Linked DNA regions of Drosophila melanogaster. The gene in region 3 interacts genetically with the main gene of each other region. Each region holds a gene or a part of one and is shown on either strand. Other genes may lie near its edges. The genes, in order: Caf1-180, mor, asf1 and Sin3A.

Region 1 (6,578 bases), on a different chromosome or scaffold from region 3:
TCTCCACCATCCGGTTATTTCAAAAATAATCGCCTGTGTAAACGCACTTTTTTTTTAACTTGAGATTTCCTCACAATGCTCGGCTCTTTTAGTTAGCATAGCAAACTTTTGGGAACGTGGGAAGGAGGATAAACGGGGGGCGGCGGTTAACTAATATCGACGGCAGATAACAATTAAACAACGATTACAATAGCAATAATTAATGGATAATCGGATAATCGTATTTAAATGTAGATGGGACTCTAACTCTTGCAGATCTAATGGTACGACACACGTTCACGTCCACGTTTTTAAAGACAACACATCCCCAAACACACACTTCTAATTTTTTTTGTCGGGAATCTTAACTAAATGTATATTAAATAATTCATTTAATTGAAACGTAAATCGTAACAAAAATGGCAAAAAGAATAAACAAACAAGTTTTAAAAATAACTTCAAGCGCTGTTTCCACTGATTTCCACCAAGAAACCCCCAATAATTTGGGACTGAAATGAAAAATGTAGCTATAGATTTATGTATTGTGTCTATATATTTCCAATGCGAACCCAAAATCGCCATCAAATGAAAGATCATCATCAGGTAGGTAGTGTATTATTGCATATATACTATATATGTTTAGTTGGCTCAATGAAAATTGCAATCCTGCGAGCTTCTGTTGCTCAACTTCTTAAAAACTTTGCGATCGAGTGGGTGGGATGCTGGTTGGGGCAGGGGTGACCCTGGTGGGGATGGGTTGGCTGAGAAGGACATACAAGTCGAACGTACATCGGAACATTTAAAATTAAATCAACTTACGAGTGAAACTAGCGACAAAAAAAATGTGTATTCTTAAAATACTCGCTTAGCAGGAAGCGGAAGATCCTTAGGGGATCTAGCTTAATCCTAGTCTTAATCCGAGAGCATCACCACATCATCGAAGACAATGGGCGGTGGCTTCTCCTGCATCTTCTCCTTGGGTTTGCTGGCATCGCTCTGGCGTTGCAGAAACTGGCTAATCAGCTTGTTCTTGGTGGCCGAGGGAATCGGCTGATCCCTGGGCACGGACATGATCAGGGTGGCCCGCTTCTTGACGCCCTGACCCGCCTGCGTCTGTCCACTGATGGGCGTTGTGGGTGCCGAGTTTGTGGTCTGGTTGGAAGCGGGCGAGGCGGCTGGTACCGCATCCGCTGGTGGACTTTGCTCTTGCTGCGCTGCATCTGGTCCGTCGCTAACCTTGGGCGTCAACGTGTAGTTCCATTGATTCTGCAACTGGAGATCCGGCAGCTGGAACTTTTCCAGCATATCGCTGGCGACCACCCAGCAGAGGCGCTTCTTCGGTTTCCTGCCCTTTTTGGCGCTGTTGGCACTGGCGGCAGCGGCTTCGGGTGTGCTCAGCTCCACGGTCTTCCAGCTGGCAAGCTCGTCGAATTTCTCGCGCAGCACAGCCTTTGAGGGCAGCGTTGTTTGATTGGCCTCGGCGGTCGCTTGGGTTTTCAGGTACTCTAAATATTCGTTGATCAGGAACGTCTTCGAGTTCCGATTGCCGTGGGTAAGGCGCACCAGCTGCTGCATGAGACGATCGTCCAGCTGCAGCGGCACCGGCTGCTCTGGCGTCTGATCCTGACGCTCCGGTTCTGGCGGAGGCTCTAGGCTGAGTGGCTCCACCTGCCAACAGGCGTACATGTCGATGGTGTGGGCAAAGATAGCTGGGAATAGCTCGGACTTGTTGCCGTTCTCGTCCAGCCAAACGGGACCCAACAGGCGCGCCTTGATCTTTTTCGTCTGCTTCTTCATTTCCTGAGCGAACTCCTGCTGCAGCACCTGGAGTTTGGCCTTCTGCGCCTCCCGCGTGTGGCCGTCTTCCATTCCGTCGCCGTCGTTTTGCAGTTCCTCGTCGCTGAGATGTCCGTGCGGCACGTACCACTCGTTGTACTCCTCTTCCGATTCCTCCTCGGACTCCTTCTCTTTCTCGTCCTCGCTAGCGCTCAACGATTCCCCCGGCTCCTCCTCCTCCCACTCGCAATCGGAGTCCACTTCGTAGTCGAAGAGCACCTGCGTTATATGATTATTGATATTTGTGTTATGATATTTAAGCCAGAAGAAGTGATCCATACCTTATCCTGTGCCAGCGGGCGTCGGGCGGAGATGCTGCTGCTCTTTTTACGCCAGGTGCCGTAGTACGGTGGCCTCCGGTTGTCGGCGAAATGCAGATACTTGGCCTTCATTCGGGTCAGCTGCTTGGGCTGCTCCACCTCGATGGGCAGACCCGCCGGTGAAAGGTAATCTGTAGATGCAGATGATTGGTGAAGAACAAATGCTTCTTTAATATCTTGCAGCCATATCCTACCTATCACTTGAACATCGTCATCATCCTCCTCGTCCTTGGTGCGTCTTTGGAGCTTCACATCGCGCTGCATCTTGAGCGGCTTGCGCCGTCCGCTGCTCAACTCACTAAGATAGAGATTAGCCCGATTCGGCGGCTTTCGTCTGACGATGTCCTGCTCCTCCTCTTCCTCCTCGTCGTCAGCTTCCTCGTCCCGGTGTCGAAAAAGTCCATCTAGCTGGGAGCGCTGCTCCTGGCCGAGCGAGTTGCGCACGATCGGTGCTAGCAGCATGTCGTCCTTGATCTGAAATGGTCGAAAGGCCAGCGTTTGGCTGCTGGCCTTGGAGCTGTCGCAGCTGCTTTGCTCGTGCTCCAGGTAGGATGTGTTGTTGGATCCGCTGCCGCACTTGGGCTGCTTGGGCACGAAGAACTTGGAGAAGGACTCGGCGGCGCGCTTCTTCTTTTGCTCGGCCTCCTCACGCTCCTGCTCCTTCTTGCGACGCTCCTCGTCCTTTTTGCGTTGCACCTCCTCCTTGGCCTCGTTGCGCTTGCGCTTCTCCTCGTTCTTGGAGTCCACCTCCGCCTGTCGCTTGCGCTCCTTCTCCTCCTTTTCCATCTTCCTCTGCTGCTCCTTCTGATCCCTCTCCAGCTTCCGCTGCTGTTCCTTTTCGTCGCGCTCCTGTTTCTTTTGCTGCTCGCGGTGCTCCTTATCCTGTTGCTTGAGGCGACGCTCCTCCGCCAGCTTTTGTTCCTTCTCCTCGCGAGCCTTTTTCCTTTGCTCCATGAGTCGTTGCTGTTTGGGCGTAAGACCCTTCGGGGCGCCGGTTACTTCCGGCAGACTCTTCCTGTTCAGGCGAGTCTCCTTTTGGGCGGAGGGTCTGTCGGTGGCCGCGGTGTCCGTATCCGCATCCATCTCGTGCTCGCTGCTGGAACTGTTGGCCTCGCTGGTCGAGAGGATCATCGAGATTTCTGCTGCTTCCGGAGATTCGTTGTCCGACTTAACTTGAGTAGATGCCTCGTCTTTCTTGGAATCCTTTTTGGCCGTCACCGATTTGTGTGAGTTCGATGCATCTTCTGGTTCAGAAGTCTTTTTCTTGACTCCAATTTGTTGTTCTTTTTGATTATTTGCAGGTGAGTCTGCTTTCTCTTTCTTTGACTTTGTTGTGCTGTCTTCCTTCTCTTCTTTCTTACTCTTTTCAGCTGGTTTTGCTCCCTCCTTCTTGCCTTTTCCTCCGGTTTTGCTTGTTTCCTTCTTAGGGACTTCTTTTGGTTTGGAATCCTCTGCAATCAGTGGATCTTTCTTGTTGTCTTTAGCTGTGGTCTTGACCTCCGGTTTATCCTTCTTATTAGTTTCCATTTTCTTTCCCATAAAGAGATCTATTGTGGCCTGATCGTTCTTTTTATTTTGTTCTGCGGTCTTTGGCTCTTCCTTCTTCGACTCCTTGACCGCCTTCATGGACTCCTCCTGCTTCTTTGAGTCCTTTCCATTCTTCTGCATGACCTCCTCCGTGTGCTTGCCGCTTGTAGAGCTGTTTTCTGGGGATTTCTCACGCGGCGTTTGTACTTTTTGCCTCTTCTGGGGGTTCAGTTCTTCGGCGATAATCTCTATGTCATCGCTGGACTCGCTGTCCCCCTTGGCAACATCCGCGGTCGAAGTCTCCAGCGGTTCCTCAGATTTCTTCAGGGATTTTCTGCGCTTTGATCGTTTGTTGACCAATGGCAGCTTGATTTGTATGGGTGCCGGCGAGCCTTTCTTGCCCTCCGACTTCTTGGGCTTCAACTTGACCTCCTTGGAGGACTTGGCCTCTACCAACTGATCCTGGTCCTCTATCTCCTTGTCGGCCTCGTCCTCATCCAGTTCTATGACATCTTCCACTACCGAATCCGTGGTCTTGACCTTTTTAGTGGCTATGGAACTGGCCAGATCCAGATTCTCCTTGCTGGTCGAACGTCGCAGTTGCCCCGTAGAGCAGCCAGTGCCCTCCGATGGCGACTCATCGTCGTACGAAAGTTTTCGCTTGCGCGGAGCGGGATCGTCCTCATCCAGGATTACAGTGACGGGGCCAGAGCCGATAGTGGCGGGGGACGATGAGGAGGAGGAGGATGTGGGCACCGCCCCACCGCCTGGCGTTAATAACTTAAAGGGCAAACGCGTCTGCACGAACTTCTTGCCACCGCTGGCCGTCTTTTCCGCTGATTTGGCCGGCACAGCCGCATCTTTTTTCCTGCCGCTGAGCGGCGTCTTAACAACGCCAGCGTGCATTCTGCTGTACTCTCTGTCTGCCTGTTTCCTGTTTCCTGCGGCTCCTGTTTTCCCCCAGCAAATCTTCACTTGTTATTCGCTTAATAAAAAAGGCGGTGAAAACACACTAGCGATGGCAGTTGCGGTTGCGCTTTGCCGCCAATAGATCCGATCGCGCGCTCGATAGATCGATATAATGTGCATCAGTGTTGGCAAGCGATCGAGTGGTGGAAAACTATGATAAGAGTGATCCTGCATACGGCTAAAGTCTCCATAATCAAAGGATTAGTGGTAGTAGATTATTCCCGTGGATAATTTTACCCACTAATCCTTTGATTGTTTCAGTGGAGACTTTAGTCTTGGTAGAAGTCTTTAATATGGCAAAGTGAAGAGTCAAACTATGGCAAATTGGAGAATTAAACTATGGCAAATTGGAGAATTAAACTGTGATCGGAGGAGGTGGGGAACTTAGATAAGAAAGAGGAATATCCTTGTGTCCTTTTTATTGGCTTAGCTTAATTGTGGAGACTTTAAAACATAAATAGCGAAGTGGAGAAACTTAAAAATGTCTTTGTAAGATTTGTAAGATTTATTTCTTTTAATAGTTTATATTGTTTACAAGAATATCAAATTAGAGTCAATGCCGTTTTCTTAATGTTTTGTTATTAATTTCTTTTCCAGAACAGTGAGCAATAAAATTGAAATAGACATTGAAAACTACTCATGCAAGCGAAAGTACACAATGCTAATTGTTGTGCACCCTGGGCGAGCTTTTTGTGAATAATTAAATACAATTAAATACTGTCGTCTTCCCAAGTTTATTCCATTTCTGCAAGCTATCAGGTTGATTGGGTACGTAGTTATTGTTACCTTTTGATGCAGCTAACAAATATCGCCCCACTGTCGATAATTGTTTACTTAGTTTAATGTGGCATTTTTGCTAATCCCGGATAAGTGGAAAAATGCTTGCGGCCACAGTCATAGCCACTGTTGACCCCTTTCCACCTGGCGACCTGGTTGACATGGTGACCCAAACCGAGGGAGAATGAGAGATCCTGCCTCCGGCTGCAGCCTGCGTCGCAGCGGCCTGGAATACATTTCATTTAATTACAATTTGTTTCAATAGGCCAACACGTACACACAGCTCAAAGGGGGGGGGGGGGGGGAGAGAGGAGGAGGAGGTGATGGATTTGGGGGCGCCAACTACTCTGTGATTATACATACATATATACTGTGTGCATGCGCATAATTCTGATTGCAATTGCACTTCGATGCATTGGATTTATTATCCCATGAAGTACTCCTAGCTTGTAAACTCAAAAGAAAAGTAATGATTTGATTAATCTGGTGTGAGATAATAATCAGATAGAATTGATACATATTTAAGTGATTTGTGGGTACTAACTATTAGTATTATTTTTTTTTTAAACAAAACACTTGCAACGGCCCTAAAGTGCAAATCTTGATGACTAATACTGACATGTGCAATCCAATTCACATGAGATACAAATTGCGGTCGCCGCTTGTGGCTTCTTTGGAAAAATTAAATATATATGTATGTACATATATACAACAAAATCAGAGGGGTGGGGGAGGGTTCAGATGTAGTGGGTTGGACATGTGGCATATTATACGCATTGGCCGGGATTTGCCATCGCCACATATCGACTCCTTTAATAATGATAATAATAATAATGCCGCATCGATTCCGCTGGGACTTTTGGCCCACGACCGATGGCCCCGGAAGAGACGGGGCGTAAAATGGGAATTCGGTCATGCGTGTGAACGGGTGCGGTATACCGAGTACCCAGTACCCGGTACCCGGTAACCAGTATCCTGTAGCGTCCTTGCCTTCCCCTGGTAATAGAAAATCTATTAGCGGCCCCCTCCGCCGCCTCACCCACCATTCGGGCGGGTGGTGGTGGTGGTGAATGGCGTGGTGAAATGGCAGGGGATGTCGCGGGGCGTGGCCATCAGGCATCAGTCGTCCCATTTTCCCTTTTGATGACGCGAAAAGAGGCCAAACACTTT
Region 2 (7,228 bases), on a different chromosome or scaffold from region 3:
TCCAAAGTATGGGCAACTATGGCCGCCACCTGGAGTGTGCGCAAACACGCAAGTCACTGGAAGAATCACAGAGTAACGTTGGTATTCTGACGGAAACAACTTCCAACGAATTGAGCATGAGAGCCAACATCAGCATATCTTCACCGCCCCCTCCCAGGGTATGCCAAAGTGGCTCCTGCTCCAGTCATCCACCTTCATCTCCCGCCGCATCACCACTTTCCTTGCAAAGCTCGCCCAACGTAAAGCGTGCTGCTTCGAGTAACGACTTGATGAGAGAGATCAAGCGACCAAACATCCTGCGGCGTCGCCAGCTTTCAGTGATCTAATAACCAATCAAAAAAGGCTTAAATACTTGGCTGCATTTTACGCAGCTAGCTTAGTATATTTCTTAAACTCAAAAATGGTAATTAAATAATGTTTAAATTATAGATATTTTATTAACTTGTTCAAGTAAGTTAAAAGCTTTTGCTTTTGTAAAAATAAAGGAATAACTGCCACTCGTAGTTTAAATAAATTTTTATTGAATGCCTATTTTTCGGCTTTGAAACTTGGTTCAAAATATTTGTGCAATTGCTTGTAAACGCGACCGGACACGAAATGAAACTTACACAAAACTGGAGACGCGTCAATGTGTAGTGCATCTCCTTCAGATTACACACAAGAGTTGGGCTTAAAGTGGAGTATACATAATACATACTGAGAGCGTACGACTTAGAGCTATTTACTTTAACGTTTCCTGGCTTATGAGTAAGAGTTAAGAAGAGGGAGCTACGCCGGCGATGGGAGCAGTGTTCGCCGGAGGAATTCCCCCTGGTGGCATTGCCGATCCCGGCGGTGCGTTGGCATCTGACACTGGACCGCTGCTTGGTGGTGTAGTATCTATGGCGGGAGTTGGATGTCTAAGTATTATAGTTTATGAATTGTTATCCGTTAAAGTTCTTACCCATGGGTGTAGGTGCTTGAGATTGCGCTGCTCCCGCTGCGACTGGTCCGGTTTGGTCGCTCGGATTCGTGACAATGGCCGTGGGTGCGCCCGGCGGGAGTCCTCCCGTGAGCGAAATCGGTGGCGCTGCAAAGGGAGCACCGTTGGGCGACGACACTACGTGCGGGGGCAACGGCTGGTGCTGGGCGGTGGGACCCGCTAGCGGTTGGGACTGCGGCGGCAACTGGTGCGGATGCGGAGGCAGCTGTTGCTGCTGCGCCAGGTGCGGATGAGGTGGCAGCGTTTGCTGTTGCTGCTGCGGCTGCTGGGCCTGTGGTAGCTGCTGTTGCTGCGGCAAGATCATTGATCCCGCGGCCGCCTGGCCTTGGAGCTCTTGCTGAAGACGATGATGTGCTTGTTGGCGCGCTCGGAACTCGGCTGCCTTTAGCTGCTCCAGGTGGAATTGCTGACGCTCTGTGATCAGCTGCTGACGCTGGTACTCCAATCCCTCGCGCTCTCGCTCCATGGTGGCCTCCAGTTCCTCAAAGTGGCGCAATTTGATCTCCAGCTTCTTCATCTGAGTCTCAACAAGGAGAGCCACCAGGGATTTGATCTTACGCTCCTCCAGGGCAGCCAGGTGTTTGGCTTTAACTGCTGCCGATGCCAAAGCTGCCGCCGCCGCAGTCTGCATGTTATTTTCGCTAAATGTTCCTTCCTTTGGCACCGCCAATGGCCCTGTTCCGGTTCCCGTTCCCTCTTTGGCCTCAGTGCCGTCCTTAGTTTCGCCATCGCCACTGCTGTCCTCCGTCTTGATGTCCACTTCGCCACCACTTGCGGCTGCTGCGGTTTCTGTGGGTGAGGATTTGTTTGATTTGTCTGACTTGATGGCTGACTTATCGCCCGAAGGCGAGGAGCCGGACGACTCCTTTGGTTTCTTGTCAGTGTTGTTGGTGTTGCCTGTCGCTGATGATGATGTGGAACTCGAGTCTGTGTTTGTGTTGGTCTTATCCGATTTTGTATTGTCTTTGGACTTGGCATCGTCTGTGGTTGTTGTTTGTTATTTGATGGTTGTGGTGTTGATGTAAGTTTGGTAGATTGGGCGCAACACAAAAACGAAACAATATACGAATACAGTGCCAAATGGTGAACAAATTGCGAATTTTGAATGAAAGCAACACAAGAGTTCAACAAGACAAACAAATGCAGAACCAACAATTGAGTAAATTCCCTTTAAAATCGATTAAAAGAAAACTCGCTCGACTTAGCGACTTTTCCCTTAACCAACATCCATAAACCCCCTTTACCGATCTCTAATGGCTTTGGCTTACCGTCTTTTTTGCTTAGGTCCTTCATTTCCTCATCAGAGCCGCCAGCGGATGCAGATGCGCCACCCTCCTTGCCCTCTTCATCGTCCTTGTCGTTTCCGGTTCCTGCGATTCCACTATTGGCCAGCCCAAAGTTCGGATTAAATTTACCACCTGCCGAAGCCTTCTCCACGTTTTTCAGGTGGTTGTCCATTATTGTAGCGGGCACCTCATCCTAGCATAAGTTTTACATTGGATGTTAAAATCATGGTTTAAACGTGACTAAAATGTAACTACCTTAATGGCTGCAAATTCCTCCATGGCAGCCTTTGCTGCTGCAGCGGCAACGCGAGGATCGACCACAGATGCCAGGAATGCGACGGTGGACATAATGGGATTGCCACTCTTGCTGAACGGAATGGGTTGGCAGGCCAAGGGGCCCAGGAAGCCACCATCATCCTCTAGATACGGGTCCTCGATGGGAAGTCGAAGGAAATGCAGAATGCACTCGTCTTGAGTGCGAGATCCAACGTGCTCGCAGACCTTGTTCCAGTCGTCCTTGTGCATTTCCAAGCCCTCAAGCAACAGCAGAGTCTCCTGATCGGTCCATTCACGAGCCATGCTTGCCGCCGTTCGATTCCTCATGGCCGCCGGCTTCTTTGCGTACTGATCCAGCTTGAGTCCAAACTGGCTCACTCCGGAACTTAATCCTCCGGCAGCGCCATTCTCTAGAGCCTCTGTCTTGATGCCAGTCAGACCACTTTTATCGCCCAACTCCAGGCCGCCATCTTTACCCAATGGCTTTTTGTCCAGATCCAACAGCGTCTTTGCCGCCGACGGCTGTTGCGTCTTTTGCGGATTTATGGACTGTAGACCTGATGGCGTATCCGAAAGAATGTGAAAGTGTGAGGTTGGTGGTGGACCCATAGGGGTGGGGCGGACATCCGCATCGATCTGGTAGTTAATCAGGCCCCATTGCTCCAAGAAGGCGTGTACTCGCATTATGGCGCACACATCTCCGGCAAGATTACGCCTACAAGCTGTGCTGGTCAAATACTCCGTCGGATTGAGCCTGAAATAGATGAGTAACATATTCAAAACTATTTGCTGCAAAAAAAATGGAGCTTCAACTTACCTGTACGTATCAATCATAAAATTCCTGTAGGCCATATAGATTTCTGGTGTCTTTGACTTATTCTTGCTGTTAAAGAATTCCGGCATGGCCCGTTTCTCGATCACATGAATGGAGTTGTAATCAAACCAAGCCGAGTACGAAGGCACGATAATGTGGTGCGTCTGCTCGGTCACATTGTCCTCCATATCCTCTTTGGCCGATGAAGAGAATTCCTGCGTGTTGCTGTTATCACTTGTCTTGCCTGTCTGCGAGTTTTCCCCATCTCCGGTAGACATGGCTTGAGCGGCGCTTCCTCCAGTCATTTCGTCATCCAGATCGGTCATAGTGCCACCTAGATATCAGTTTGTTTAGTCAATGCAGATATAAGATAACAAAACTTACCTTTAATGGGCATCATGTCGTTGTCGCCACGAGATTTACCGCCCGGAGCTGGACTGGCGGTGGACTGCAAGGCGGCATTTGCCTTATGAACCTCCTGAACATTGGGCTCGGCCGGCGGATCATCCAGATCGCGAGTTAAGTCCTCGTCATCATCGTCGTTGCGCGACTTTTTGTGCACCACGGCGGGAGAACGCTTACGCTTGCCCGGCTTTGAGGTGGATGCCGAACTGGCGGGAGATGGTGAACGGCGTCTCTTCTGCTTGCCTCCGCCCGAGCTGGCAGCAGGCTTCTTCTTCTCGTCGCCGAATGACATGATGTCGTCTATGGACATACGCTGTTTGTGCGTCTTCTTCTTGCCCTGTTCGTCAACCTCGTAGTCCTCCTCGGCCATCCACTCATTGTACTGCTCCAGGTCCACGATCCAGGATGCAGACACACGCCAACGTTCCGCCGGTGACTCGGGATTCTCCGGAATGTGATCGGGCAGGTCAAAGTTATTCACAGCCCAAGAATCGTAGGACTCGGGGAAGTAGTACCAATGCAGCATCACATGTCCGCCGCGCTTGAAAATGGGCCGCGCATACTCGTCGGGATGTGGGTCCACCACAGGATAGACGATATGGGTGGCGTCCTCCTCGTCCGACACAATCTCTACCCGTCGATTGTCCAGGATCTCGCGCAGTTTTCCCTCGAAGCCCTTTTCAATCTCCGGCCGAATATAGATGTACGGTATGCGATACAAGTCCGCCTCGACCAACGCCTGCTCAATCTCGATCAGCAGCTGGATGTTGGGATCCTTGCGCGTGGGATTCTTGCCAATGGAGAAGTCGAACTTCTTGCCGCGTTGCTCGGCCCGGAAACGGAACATGGTCGAGAAAATGATGCACAGACCACCGCCGCTCTTGAAGTCCAGAAAGCAACGCATCTGGTGTGGGTGGTACGATTATTAGAGATATGTTTTAATGTACGTAAATCATGTAGCTAAATACAAAATATAAGCTAGTGGTCCAAACATTTGGCCATTGGAGGATTAATATTTACGTGTACACACGCAACACGGGGCACCCTGTCCCCCTCACCAACCACAGGCACTATCAATACTAACCGGAATTCTGGTTGCCGGCGGATCCGCTGAGTTCTTGCCCAGCTTGGCTTCCACATACTGCAGGAAGTGAATGAGCAATTGGGCCAAGGACTCCTTCGTGATGGGCTCCGAACTGTGGGCCAAATACTGCAATAAATACGGTTGTGAGTAAATCGTTTTTTTTTCGCCGCCTGACAGCGCCATTTTTGTTTGCGGCGGCGTTGTTGTTGGCACGCACCTTCTTGCAGTTCTTCTGCAGCCACTGGCGAATCGATTCAAAGCCCTGCAGCGTCTCCGGCGACTGGAAAAAGTCTATATTCGGACTTCCGTCCTTCTTAGGACCCAGTGTGTTCATGTTGCGGCACTTTTGTGGACTTTTTGTCAATTATCTTTTCACTTTTCCACGCCAAAAAGCCAATAAACGCTGCGTTGATAAAATAGAGATGGTATTTAAATCGATGTTGTTGTGACAGTCGTTATCGATATTTCAGCTATCTCCACTGAAAGTTATCATTATTTTAATCTTAGGTTAGGTTAATATATAAACCTATTGGTTGGTGGAAGCCATATATTAAATAACAAGAAAACATATTGGCTGTTAAGAGAATTATATAGACTTCGAAAAAGTTATAGCTAGCTAACGTGTCAGTTAGCTTTACATCTCAGTGGGAACAAGCTATTATGTGAAAATTGCTGTTAAATTCAATAATGCCATCTGGTCACAGTGGCGGTGGTGCTGTATTGGCGTCCCGCTCGCGCCGCCTAAAAACCGATGCACCACGATAGTCAGGCCGCACATATAAATGCGACTCCATCGCGCTAACATGGCTGCTGGGAACCGAAAACTTAAAAATATTGTGCTGTCAGAGTGTGTTTGCATCAGCGTGAAGCCCAGTGTTAAGTTAAAACATTGACTGCCTACGCCCACCAACGACAATTGCCGTAAATCGAATTCTGCCGTTATTCGCAACGCCGGATTCCCATCCGTGTGTCCGTCGCGAGTGTGCCAGTGTGCGTGAAAATAAAAAGTCAATGGTGCGTGAGTGCGAGTGAGTAGGAAGAAAGCAAAAGCGATTGGATTGATTTGTGACGCTGCTGGCGAAAAGCAGTACCCAGTACCCCTTTCCTTGGGCCAAAACACACACATACGTACGGCTATAGTAACTCAGCATCGATTGTACAGTTTGAGAGCAAACAATTCAATTAGAAAATGCAGAGCGCATGAGTTGAATTGTGAGTGGGCGCCCCACATAAGCTGACTGCTACCGCACAACGAAGGGAACTAGAAAGAGGAGTGCGTAGTGCGGAGAGAAGAGCAAATGCGAAGCGAAGAGGAAGAGAGCGAGAGAGAGCAACCATTGCCAAAGGTAAGTGATATAACACTCGGAGATCGGGAGTGGGAATGCGAATAGGAACATAAGGAACCCCTAAATTCTTATCCTAGATTGCAACATTATTTATATGGCAGCAACTTATCGCTTCCGCTTGCTTGTGTGCGTGCGATAGAGATAGATAGAGTGGGGCCAAGGGGCTCTGTTTATTGATAAGAGAGGAGAGCGAGCGAGAGAGAGGGAGAGAGAGAGGAGGTGGGCGCCAACGCAGCAAAACAGCGGAAATCCTTTACAAAAACTTGGTCTACCACTAGCTCTTTGTCTTCGCCTTCTAGTCTCTCTCATCTTGGCAGCCCGTTCTAGTGCGCGTATTTTTAGTCGCAACACATTGCCCAATTCGCCAGCCGCTATTTGTGTCGTCCATTTGTTCATTCATCGGGCTCTTTTTCCGATTTCAGTGGGTGGCATTTAACAATAATCCCTGCGTTCGCTGTCCACGTCCACATTACGATACGTTTAGTGCACGGAAAGAAATAAGCATGTGGTTTCATAATATTAGCTATTGAAAAAAGTTCTTAAATTTAAGCCTCACTCGATTCTGATGCATGAAATATTATTGGATTGTAAATGAGCGTCATGTTTTGGTATACAAATCTCAAAGTAATTTAAAAATTCTCATCTTACCGTACCTTGAACCACTACCAATCATCTCAGTACAGCATTTCAGCGAATTTCTCACTGTGCACTACAATGCCAGGCGGTACAAGCACCTGTATTTATTTATGGTCCGCTGCCGTAATCGACTGCAGTCGCCGCTTCCCTCTCTCTTTTGCTACCAACAACTTGGGGTAGGGCACCTGAACTAGTTTCAAACGGCGGCGGTCGGCCTTTTCAGCTTTTTCGCATTTGCCATTTTCCCGCGGTTCGCAACATCAGCGACATTTGTCACAGTTTCTTAAAGAACATTTGAATATCCAAAGTTTACTTGCCGAACTTGACTGCGGCATTGCGATGATGATGCTGCCCGTTGTTTGTCATTCAGCTCCATTAATTCGATACCAATCAGTATTT
Region 3 (3,890 bases):
GCCCACAGGACAGCCCAATGAGTCGGCCTCCACGTCTGAGCGATTGGGCACCTTTTCGCAGAACTTCCAGTGATCGCAGCTAGGTTCCGTCCTCAGGGATCCTCCGCCGCAAAACTTGCTGCCCAGATCTAGATCCGAATAGCTGAGATACCTAAGGACGATCAGGAGGATGGATCAGTTTAAGCATTTCACAAATTCTGGAGTACTCTCCACGTATTGCTCGAGTTGCTCATGCTGATCCGAGGGCAACTGCCCGGGGCGCTGGCAAAACGGGCAAGATCGTGTTGGCTGATAGGCATCCTAAGATGTCTGTTACTTAAATTTTGTACAGCAAAGATTTGAGATTTGAGTTTTTTTCTGTTTTTGTTCTAATGTAATTGTTGCTGAATATTGCACAAAGGAAGAATTGATCCAGTATTATTTGATTTAACGGAATTTCAAGAAAATGTGTAGTCAAAGATTATATTAAAAAAAAATAATATAAAAAATTATAATAAAACAAAGTTTCAGGTTTATGAATATTTTTAGATATAATTAAATATAATAAAATGCCGTCCTGATAATATTAAATTTCTCTTCCAATCTGATGTGAATTTTTCCCATTTTTTACTTAACTTGTTTTTAAACAACAAAAAAATCATATAAATCATTTAGACAAAAAATCAGTTCTGTACAAAATTCAATTATTGAAAACGGAGTTTCTTTCAAGAATATGCTTATTATTTCTATTTAGGCATTAATGCTGTACAAGTGCAATAATTGATAATAGAGTTTCTTAATAAAAAAAAGGGTATCATTTCTATTGAACACGGCCAACTGAACTTTGCCATGAACGTATTAGTCATTCTTCAAACACAAATAAGTGCGCACAGAAAAGTCAAATATAGCTAAGAAAATGCATGTTTTGTGAAATAATTTAATGTATACATATATTTTTGCTTTAATCTTAGTTACTTAGAAGTAAAAAGAGGGACGAGGACCAGGAGTGCTAAGTTATCCATTGTTGCCCATGTTGGTTTAAGTGAGAGACAGTGTGTTAGTGTGGTCATTGTTCGGACTGCCGGCAGCTCTCAACATTCCATGGCCAGTGAGTTGGAGTTCTCGTTCAAGGCCTTGATTCCGTTCTCCATTGGCATGGCCAAACTATTATCATCTTCGGGATGGATAACTGCTGAAGCCGCCTCCGATGTGGACGGTCCATCGGTGGCCATCTCATCTTGATGGCCGTTCTCCACGCCATTTCCATTCCCGTTGATGTGCCCGTAGTCCCAATTGATTTTGAATCGGGTGACGCGCGGCTTGCTGGCCAGGATGTTTCGCGTCAGCTTCTCGAAAAGAGGCTTTGTTGGCGGGTTCTCGCGCATCTCCGGGTCAGCGTAGTCGTTATTCACATAGTAGCCCACGCGGACGAACTCCTGGCCGCGGTAGGAGCAGGTAAGCAGAACAATGGTAACGCCCACCGCATCCGGTTCCGGGATCTTGCTGACGTCTGGCGGATCCGCCTGGAAGACAAAGATGTGTCGCCCCTCAGGCACAGGTCCCACGTATATGGTGTCCAGCACCTGGTCGTGCTCCTCGGACTCCGCCGAGCCTACATAGATCATCTTCCACTCTAGATCCTCTTTTAGCTCCTCAATGCACTCGAACGTGAGTTCGAACTGAAAGGGGTTGAAGAAGCTGCTCGGGTTGTCCAGCACCACCACGTTGGTGATGTGCACCTTGGCCATGACTGTACCTCGGAGATTGCAGAGCGTAGACCGATATTTTAAAGACTCCTTCGACTGCGCGCTTTTTTTAGAGGTTCTGCTTTTGTCCGACTAGGGAATTGCTTTGCGAAATTCACCTGCAAAACGCTCAGCAAATACTTGATATATGTACTGTAATGCTAGTAGTTTGTTTTGGTTACAACATGAATCAGGTTTGTGCAATTGTCTGTCGCTATTCTGCTTTTATTTATCGCAATTATTCCGCTTGTCTTCGCACAAATGGTGACAGCTGACTTCTTTCCCGCGCTTCAGAGGGACCGTTCGGTGTCGCAAGTGGTGGCGAAAAACTCACCACGACAAGTGGCGGAATGTCAAAACGCGACAATAGTTCGATTGGTGAACGAGTTTACAAGATCTAAAAAATACTAATAATAATTTCGTTTCGTTACAACTGGCCTTTACACGAATTAACGATAAAAAAAAACCTAGATGCTGTAGTTTCAGCGGCATTACGGAATGGTTTACAAAAAATACACATATGACAAAATAATGATCTTCAGAAAAACCAAGTCAAATAAAAATTGGAACATATATTTTCTGATTGGAAGAGCGATCGATATCTGCGCAAAAAACAGCTGTCGACTTTCTGCCAGTAACGATAGTTTCGATACAAACTTGCATCAAGTGCCATCTCCAGCTGCTCCCTGCAATTGTTGTGTGGTGTTCTGTATTTTCTTTGTAAATAGTTGGAGTAATGCTGCACCTGACGGGCCAGAGTTACAATGCTCGCGACATCATCCGGAACATCTTCTCGCCGCTGATCGGCGTGCTGTCCAGTCCACAGGCGGACGAGATTTGCCACCGGAACAACCTCTCCTTCGTGGAACTCCTGCAGCCGTTCGCAAAGTTGCCAAATGATGGTGAGTGAATGGGATAGTGAATGGTTTGTGTGTAAGGGGGCGTGCGGGTGAGGTAAACAAGGCATAGACGCGGCTAAGAAAATAGGTCTTTTCTATGGAACTTTCAACCGATTCGACATGGTTATTTAACATTTTGCATACAAAGTAGTTGTTTAAGGGTTGTTATGGTGTGGATGACATGTTTAAAGCTCAGAAGTTGGTAAACGTTGATTCTAACATTGTTGATAATAAACTTAAATTGCCAACAAATTCTAAATGGCCAAAAATTAAATGCATTTGTACTCCTTTCTTTAGCACACTTTCGCGACGTGTCCGGAACGAGTGTATCGGTGCGTGGACTCCGTCTCAATTTCTGTGATGTGGACTGGCGGCCGCCGCAAACAATTTTGGCCAGGAAGATGCTCAACGAGTCTGTGACCAACGCCCATAATGACAAAACCAGACTGGCCACCATAGGTAAGGGTTTAAGCGATGCAAAAATGTCTTTTGGTAACTCATTTACCATTCTCCCATAGCTGGCATAGACCTTGAGTTACCCACATCGGAACCATGGTTCGAGCAGTGGCGTGAGACCTTTTTAACTGTGCAATTTCCGGCGGATCATGAGTTCACCCGCCATCTATTAAGTTGTTTGCTAGTGCTATCCAGCGCAGATCCCCAGATCGTGGAGACCGCCCACAAACTGGGACAACGTGTGCAGCAGATGCAGAGCATCACGCCCCAAAAACTGCCCAAGTGGTTCCATCCCACCGAGGTCCTCAATAGTTACGTAGTGCTGCACGAGGCTAGCCAGGGAGACTTGTCCAAAGCACAGCAGGGATTCGAGCTGCTCAAATCCACGTTCGGAGACAGCAAGTGTTTTTTGGTGTCGATCAACTCGATGGATTCTCAGGGTGCAGCTGAGGTTCCAGATCACTGGGCAACGTTTATTAAAAGACAGCCTAAAAGTGATCCAAATCTACCCTCCACTGATCTTAGTGCACCGAAATCGCCACAGGAAGCGGTTTCTGTAATAAGTATGCCTGCTATGCAAATGTCACAGCTCCTGGAAGGAGTCAGTGCTCAAGATAGCGATCTGGCCATGCTTCATCCGCTGAGTCCCATGCAGGAAAGCGCCACAGAGGCGATTAATTCGAAATTTAGCATCAGCAGCGAGAGTATTGCCTCTCAAACAATCAATCCCAATGTTTGGGGAAATGAATTAGAGGCGGATGCACCTCACGGCGGATGTCTTACCAGTCGAGACATTGACAACCTACGACAC
Region 4 (4,897 bases), on a different chromosome or scaffold from region 3:
AAAAACCCCCAAGAATTAGGTTTGGGTCTATTTTTAATGAAGTTAGTCATCATTAAATTCTGCATTACTGGAACAATCTTACACATTAATACTAGAATTTATTCACTGACACTGAAATGAAAGGACAAATATGCCAAATATACTTTTCCATATATTAAAGACCACGAGTCTTGCTAATTTTCCCAAAACATGTTAGCTAGTATAGCACAGCTGATTGATCAATTCGGTCTATATCTTCACAGATATCGGAACGATTGCATATTTCAACAAGAAAAAAGGTGAACTAAAAAGCCACGGGGGAATTCTTCTTTTAGCCGTATCACAAAAACTACAGAGTGGAGAACGGTGTCTCTGTATTGGGTGTTCTGGATTCGGGGGAGAAGAGTGAGATGAGGGACAATAGGAATGGAATGAAGCAGTGGAGCTGTGACCAATAACAACAACAGCAACCAGAGATTGATACATATAGACGGGAAGGAGATCGTGGAGTGGAAGTTGAGTCTTGGAGGAGAGTGAGTGCAAGGCATAAGGAGGAGCGCGTAATTCACTTTAGTGTGTGTACGTTCAACCGGAATTGGGCGCGCGCTTTGTTATTGCTTTCAGCGGTACAGTAAAAACTTCCTAAGCGAGCTTTCTGTGTACACCTCCGAGTGTGTGTGTATGTGTGTACATATCAGTATTTGTGAATGTGGAAGGTGCCAAATGCCCCATGCACGACATCGGCTTGCATAGAATTCAGACGCACACATAGAAAATATTTATATATCGATACCGCCAAGGGGGCGGGCGGGTGGTGTGTGAGAGCTGCTGGTACATGTTCTGTATCTACAACTTACAAGAATAAGAAGAAGAAGAGTCAGAGGTAACAGCAGCAGCAAACGCAACAATGCAAAGGTGGTGGTGGCGATACGGTGGTGGTGGTGCAGCCACAGAGAGAACCAGAGAGAGCCGCATTTGTTGTTGAGGCGCAGTATATGGATGATTTTTTTTTTTTCAAAAAGGTATTTCACCCGTTTGGGGCCAAACTCACACACGGACACAGCAAGCATTTGGCGGGCATTCGAGAGAGAGAGCGGCAAAAATGAAGAGAGCGCAACGCTGCGCAAACCAAAGACCGCGAGCAAATATTAGGTGAATGGAAACCGCCTAGAGGATCATCCTGCTCCAACTAATTGAAACACCCCATCGAACCAACAGCTGCCCCCTTTTAGCATTTGTAAACAAATATTGGAGCACAGTACAGCCGCACAAAAGCTTTAGCCCTCGTTCTCTCTCCTGTCTCTGCCACCACCAACTATCCTTTAATAAATGAAGGTAAAACAAGTTCGCTCTTTTGAGCTCTCCCAACTGTCTTTGTTGTTATTGTATTTTTGGATCCGCCATTAGTGCATACCAAACACATTTACTCGCTTGCTGGTGTGTGTGAGTGTTTGACGAGAGAGGCTCCAAATTGGGGCGTTGTGTGCGTGTGTGTGCTTTGGGGAGACATGTGGGCAAATTTTCCCTCCATTTTTTCTTTTTTTTTTTTTTTGATTCAGCCCGCTCTATTACGTGCACACGTATAATGTTATCTTATCTGTTTTGTTATGTGTATACACAGCACAGCAGAATACGCAACACAAAAGGCAGCCAGCGGAAAATATGTTAAATTTTTTGCAAATATCACTAGCACTCGGTTTTGAACAACTGCAATACGAATCGGAATCAACGCGAATTAATATTTAGTTTTTTACTGTTACTTTCTCACTCTGGCGCACTAACACAGCCGCGGAGTGGCGCTGCGCTATTAATAAATTTTGCAAATAAAACATATGGATGTGTAGAGAAATATGTACAATATATTCACATACATATATACTATTTCAGCATGAAGAAGCAACGGCAAACGTTTTGTGTAAATTCAAAACCGAATGAAAAAAAACAGGCGGAGCAAGAACAACAAACGACGGATGGGCTGGGGAGCATGAAGAAGAGGAGCAAAAGGAAGATCTGAACAAAAAGAGGGCCACAAAATGATGCTCTCATTGGGGAGCCATTTAAATGCACACTCACACTAGGCTGCTCTCGCCAGTACATGCGAATGGCGCATCAAAGCAAAAGTCAAGATAAGCGCACGAACTGAGCAAAGAACGAATCAACAACGAAAATAAAACGACACTACGTTGAAAAAATACAGTCAGTTCATAAGCGAACCAAAAGCAATGGTTCAAAGCGTATGTATGAGTGTGGCTCTCCTCTCCACAACTGTGTTCAACTGTGTGTGAGGAGAGCAGAAACTGTAGAGGCAGCAGCAGCAGCAACACAAACAACAACCACGTCCCCGTCGACGACTTTTTGTCTGTGCGCCTTCTATATGTATTCGCTATGCCATTGTTGTTTGTGTGTGTGTGAGTTTGTGCGTGCGTGTGTATATAAACCAATTGAAATTGACCTAACCTAAAAATGTTGTATTTTCACAAGTTTTCAGTGGCACGAACGAAAATATTGTTTGAACTCGAATCCGCACTCCAAGTGCACTTGAAGGATAATGCTACTCTGCAATTTTCACGCCCCCCACAACCGCCCACCGCCCATATTACACTTACATCAGCAATAAGCAGTTAGCTTCGTCGGTTGATATTCGGCTGTGTGTATGTATATTCGAAATGTATGTATATATGTACGGGGCGCGTATGTATATTTACTACAAAACTGCCGTTGGTTTTGTGGTGTTATTGGAAACTTTCACGTTTTACGCAGTATTTTGCACATGCAACTACTATATTCGCACTCACTGGCACACCGAAATCTTTATTTTCACCGTTTTCTTTTCTTTCAGTAGCTGGGGCTTCGTTCTCCAGTTCAGTTTAAGTTTAACGCTTATTTCAATCAATTTGCACTTGGCTCTAAGACCTTAACTAGATCACACGGCTCGAATTTAAGACATTTTCTTCTCGATAGATTGCTACTGCTATTCTATTCACAAATTTTTGGCGAGAGAACGTTTTCGTACATCTCAACGCCGCCGCAAACATTTTCGATTAAAACAGCGAAACGCGACGGCCAGTCATTTGGAGTCAGCAGAGAGAGCGAAATGAGTGTAAAACGGAGAGCGTGAGAGCGCGCGCGCAGTGTTGCTTTGGAATTCATTTTATTCTGCTGCCGCAGCTAAAACAGGGTGGCAACTCAACGGCGCAACAACTAAAATCCTCCGTCGAGCGCGTTGAAAACACATCAGTAGCTGACGGCAAAAATAGTTTATATACCATTCATTACCTATTAGCAAATAATCACAATCAGTGGTTATTTTTATTAGCGGTGAGCGGTACCGCATGCAAATAGTCGCAAAATGGCGCTTAGAATTTGGATAAGAAACGAAATACGTGAGGCTTACGTAAGTGCGAGGACCAACAACAACGCTGGGAAGAGAGAAAACAAGTTGTTTAGAAAACAGGGTGTACCATTGTCACCCAGCCATGTGGTGGAAACGATGATCAGAACATCTGGGTAAGACACCCTGTTTGAGCCAAAGAGAGAGAGCGGGTGTGAGAGCAGCGCACCCACACAAGCGCAACGAGTATACAGCAGATAGCGACGTCGGCAGAGCGTTTTAGCCGACCATTGCAGTACATATGTGAAATCGACGAAACCGAAAATCAGAAACCAAACGGACCACTAGCGAGCTACAACTCTGCCACGGCTACACTTTACACACTCATGTACTCCTCCACCACCTCACTCGCCAGCGCACTCACACACAGACGCGTGCGTGCGGAGAGAGGAAGTAAAAATATGAAGACAAAAAAAAGCAAGTGCATCTCACCATGACAATGGCGGAACCATAAAAACACATGTTCCCATCTCGAATCGAACTGAATTCGGCGGCCAGCTCCTTCACAAAATAAAATAATACAGACAAAAAATCTGTATACGCGCAAAAGTTGAGCTGCTAAAACATGGAAACCTTGCAGTTATCGATTCGTCTCGCTCATTGCGCAATGAAAAAAATGCAGCGGGGGCGGAGGATACGAGAGAGCCTCTCTCTTTGTGAGACACCTGCAGCGATAGGAAATGCAAATCCGCCTTCCACTTTCCAGCTCGAAAGTTCAAAGTTCACATGCAACTAACTAGCTACTGGGTGCAGCGCATGTCCGAGGTGCACCAAAGTCCCTGGACCAAACAAAAAAATGGCACAAACCAAACTCTCCGACTTCCAGGCGCCGCAGGAAGGTTTGTTTGCCCTCCCATTGGGTATTATTGATGCTTTTTTCTATTGATAATAAAGCCAGGTGGTCTAGCATGTTCTAATTATTCCTGTGCTAATTTCAGATCTGTCATGGAATGCGGCACTAGGAAATATTAACTGACGCTGATCAAGTGATATCTGAAATGTGGTAAAGAGGTTCCTGTCACACGGACCCATTTCTATAAAAAAAACTAATTAGTTTGATATTCGTACGTGTTCTGCAAATTATCAGATGTTTTTAACTCTCTTGAGTCACATGATATTTAATGTGATAAAAACTTTTTGTTATTTATTGTTTGTTTGTCCTAAAAAATTGACAACACAGTAAATGGAAAACTTTACTATAAAATATTTAACTTTAGTATTAATTCTCATCAAAACTATAAATCCATTTAAGGATTAGAGAACCCTCTTCTTTATGTAAAAGATTATACACAAATTTACCGGTGAGCCAAAATGCGTGTTGGATCAAAATTAAGAGCAATTAAAAGGTTTTTAAATTAAAATAACGATTATAAATTTGGGAATAGGCTTACACGATTGAACACAACGGCTTCAGTGTTGTTTACTAATTCAATACTTATTGAAATGATAACATAGTATATTTAAACATACAGTTTAACACTCAAGTTTTAATAATATAATGATGAAGGCTTGAAAAAGTTACAACTA

Evidence for each region.
Region 1: of asf1 (region 3) and Caf1-180, changing one suppresses a phenotype caused by changing the other (phenotypic suppression), as found in Drosophila melanogaster (one study listed by BioGRID).
Region 2: of asf1 (region 3) and mor, changing one suppresses a phenotype caused by changing the other (phenotypic suppression), as found in Drosophila melanogaster (one study listed by BioGRID).
Region 4: of asf1 (region 3) and Sin3A, changing one suppresses a phenotype caused by changing the other (phenotypic suppression), as found in Drosophila melanogaster (one study listed by BioGRID).

What each region holds. Positions count from the first base shown.
Region 1 is NC_004354.4:8,601,621-8,608,198, forward strand, and holds Caf1-180 (chromatin assembly factor 1, p180 subunit), read right to left. Parts: upstream 4,685-6,578; 5' UTR 4,569-4,684; coding exon 2,330-4,568; intron 2,267-2,329; coding exon 2,097-2,266; intron 2,035-2,096; coding exon 892-2,034; 3' UTR 517-891; downstream 1-516.
Region 2 is NT_033777.3:15,967,632-15,974,859, forward strand, and holds mor (moira), read right to left. Parts: upstream 5,283-7,228; 5' UTR 5,182-5,282; coding exon 5,065-5,181; intron 4,974-5,064; coding exon 4,848-4,973; intron 4,668-4,847; coding exon 3,743-4,667; intron 3,693-3,742; coding exon 3,362-3,692; intron 3,299-3,361; coding exon 2,524-3,298; intron 2,462-2,523; coding exon 2,251-2,461; intron 1,964-2,250; coding exon 944-1,963; intron 880-943; coding exon 755-879; 3' UTR 503-754; downstream 1-502. Other genes in the region: Rbf2 (Retinoblastoma-family protein 2), read left to right, coding at 1-326.
Region 3 is NT_037436.4:19,617,016-19,620,905, reverse strand, and holds asf1 (anti-silencing factor 1), read right to left. Parts: upstream 2,013-3,890; 5' UTR 1,728-2,012; coding exon 1,071-1,727; 3' UTR 508-1,070; downstream 1-507. Other genes in the region: ms(3)76Cc (male sterile (3) 76Cc), read right to left, coding at 1-151, 214-299; l(3)76BDm (lethal (3) 76BDm), read left to right, coding at 2,461-2,626, 2,921-3,082, 3,142-3,890. UniProt on the Drosophila melanogaster protein: Histone chaperone that facilitates histone deposition and histone exchange and removal during nucleosome assembly and disassembly. Cooperates with chromatin assembly factor 1 (CAF-1) to promote replication-dependent chromatin assembly.
Region 4 is NT_033778.4:12,586,131-12,591,027, forward strand, and holds the start of Sin3A (Sin3A), read right to left. Parts: upstream 3,023-4,897; 5' UTR 2,586-3,022; intron 1-2,585.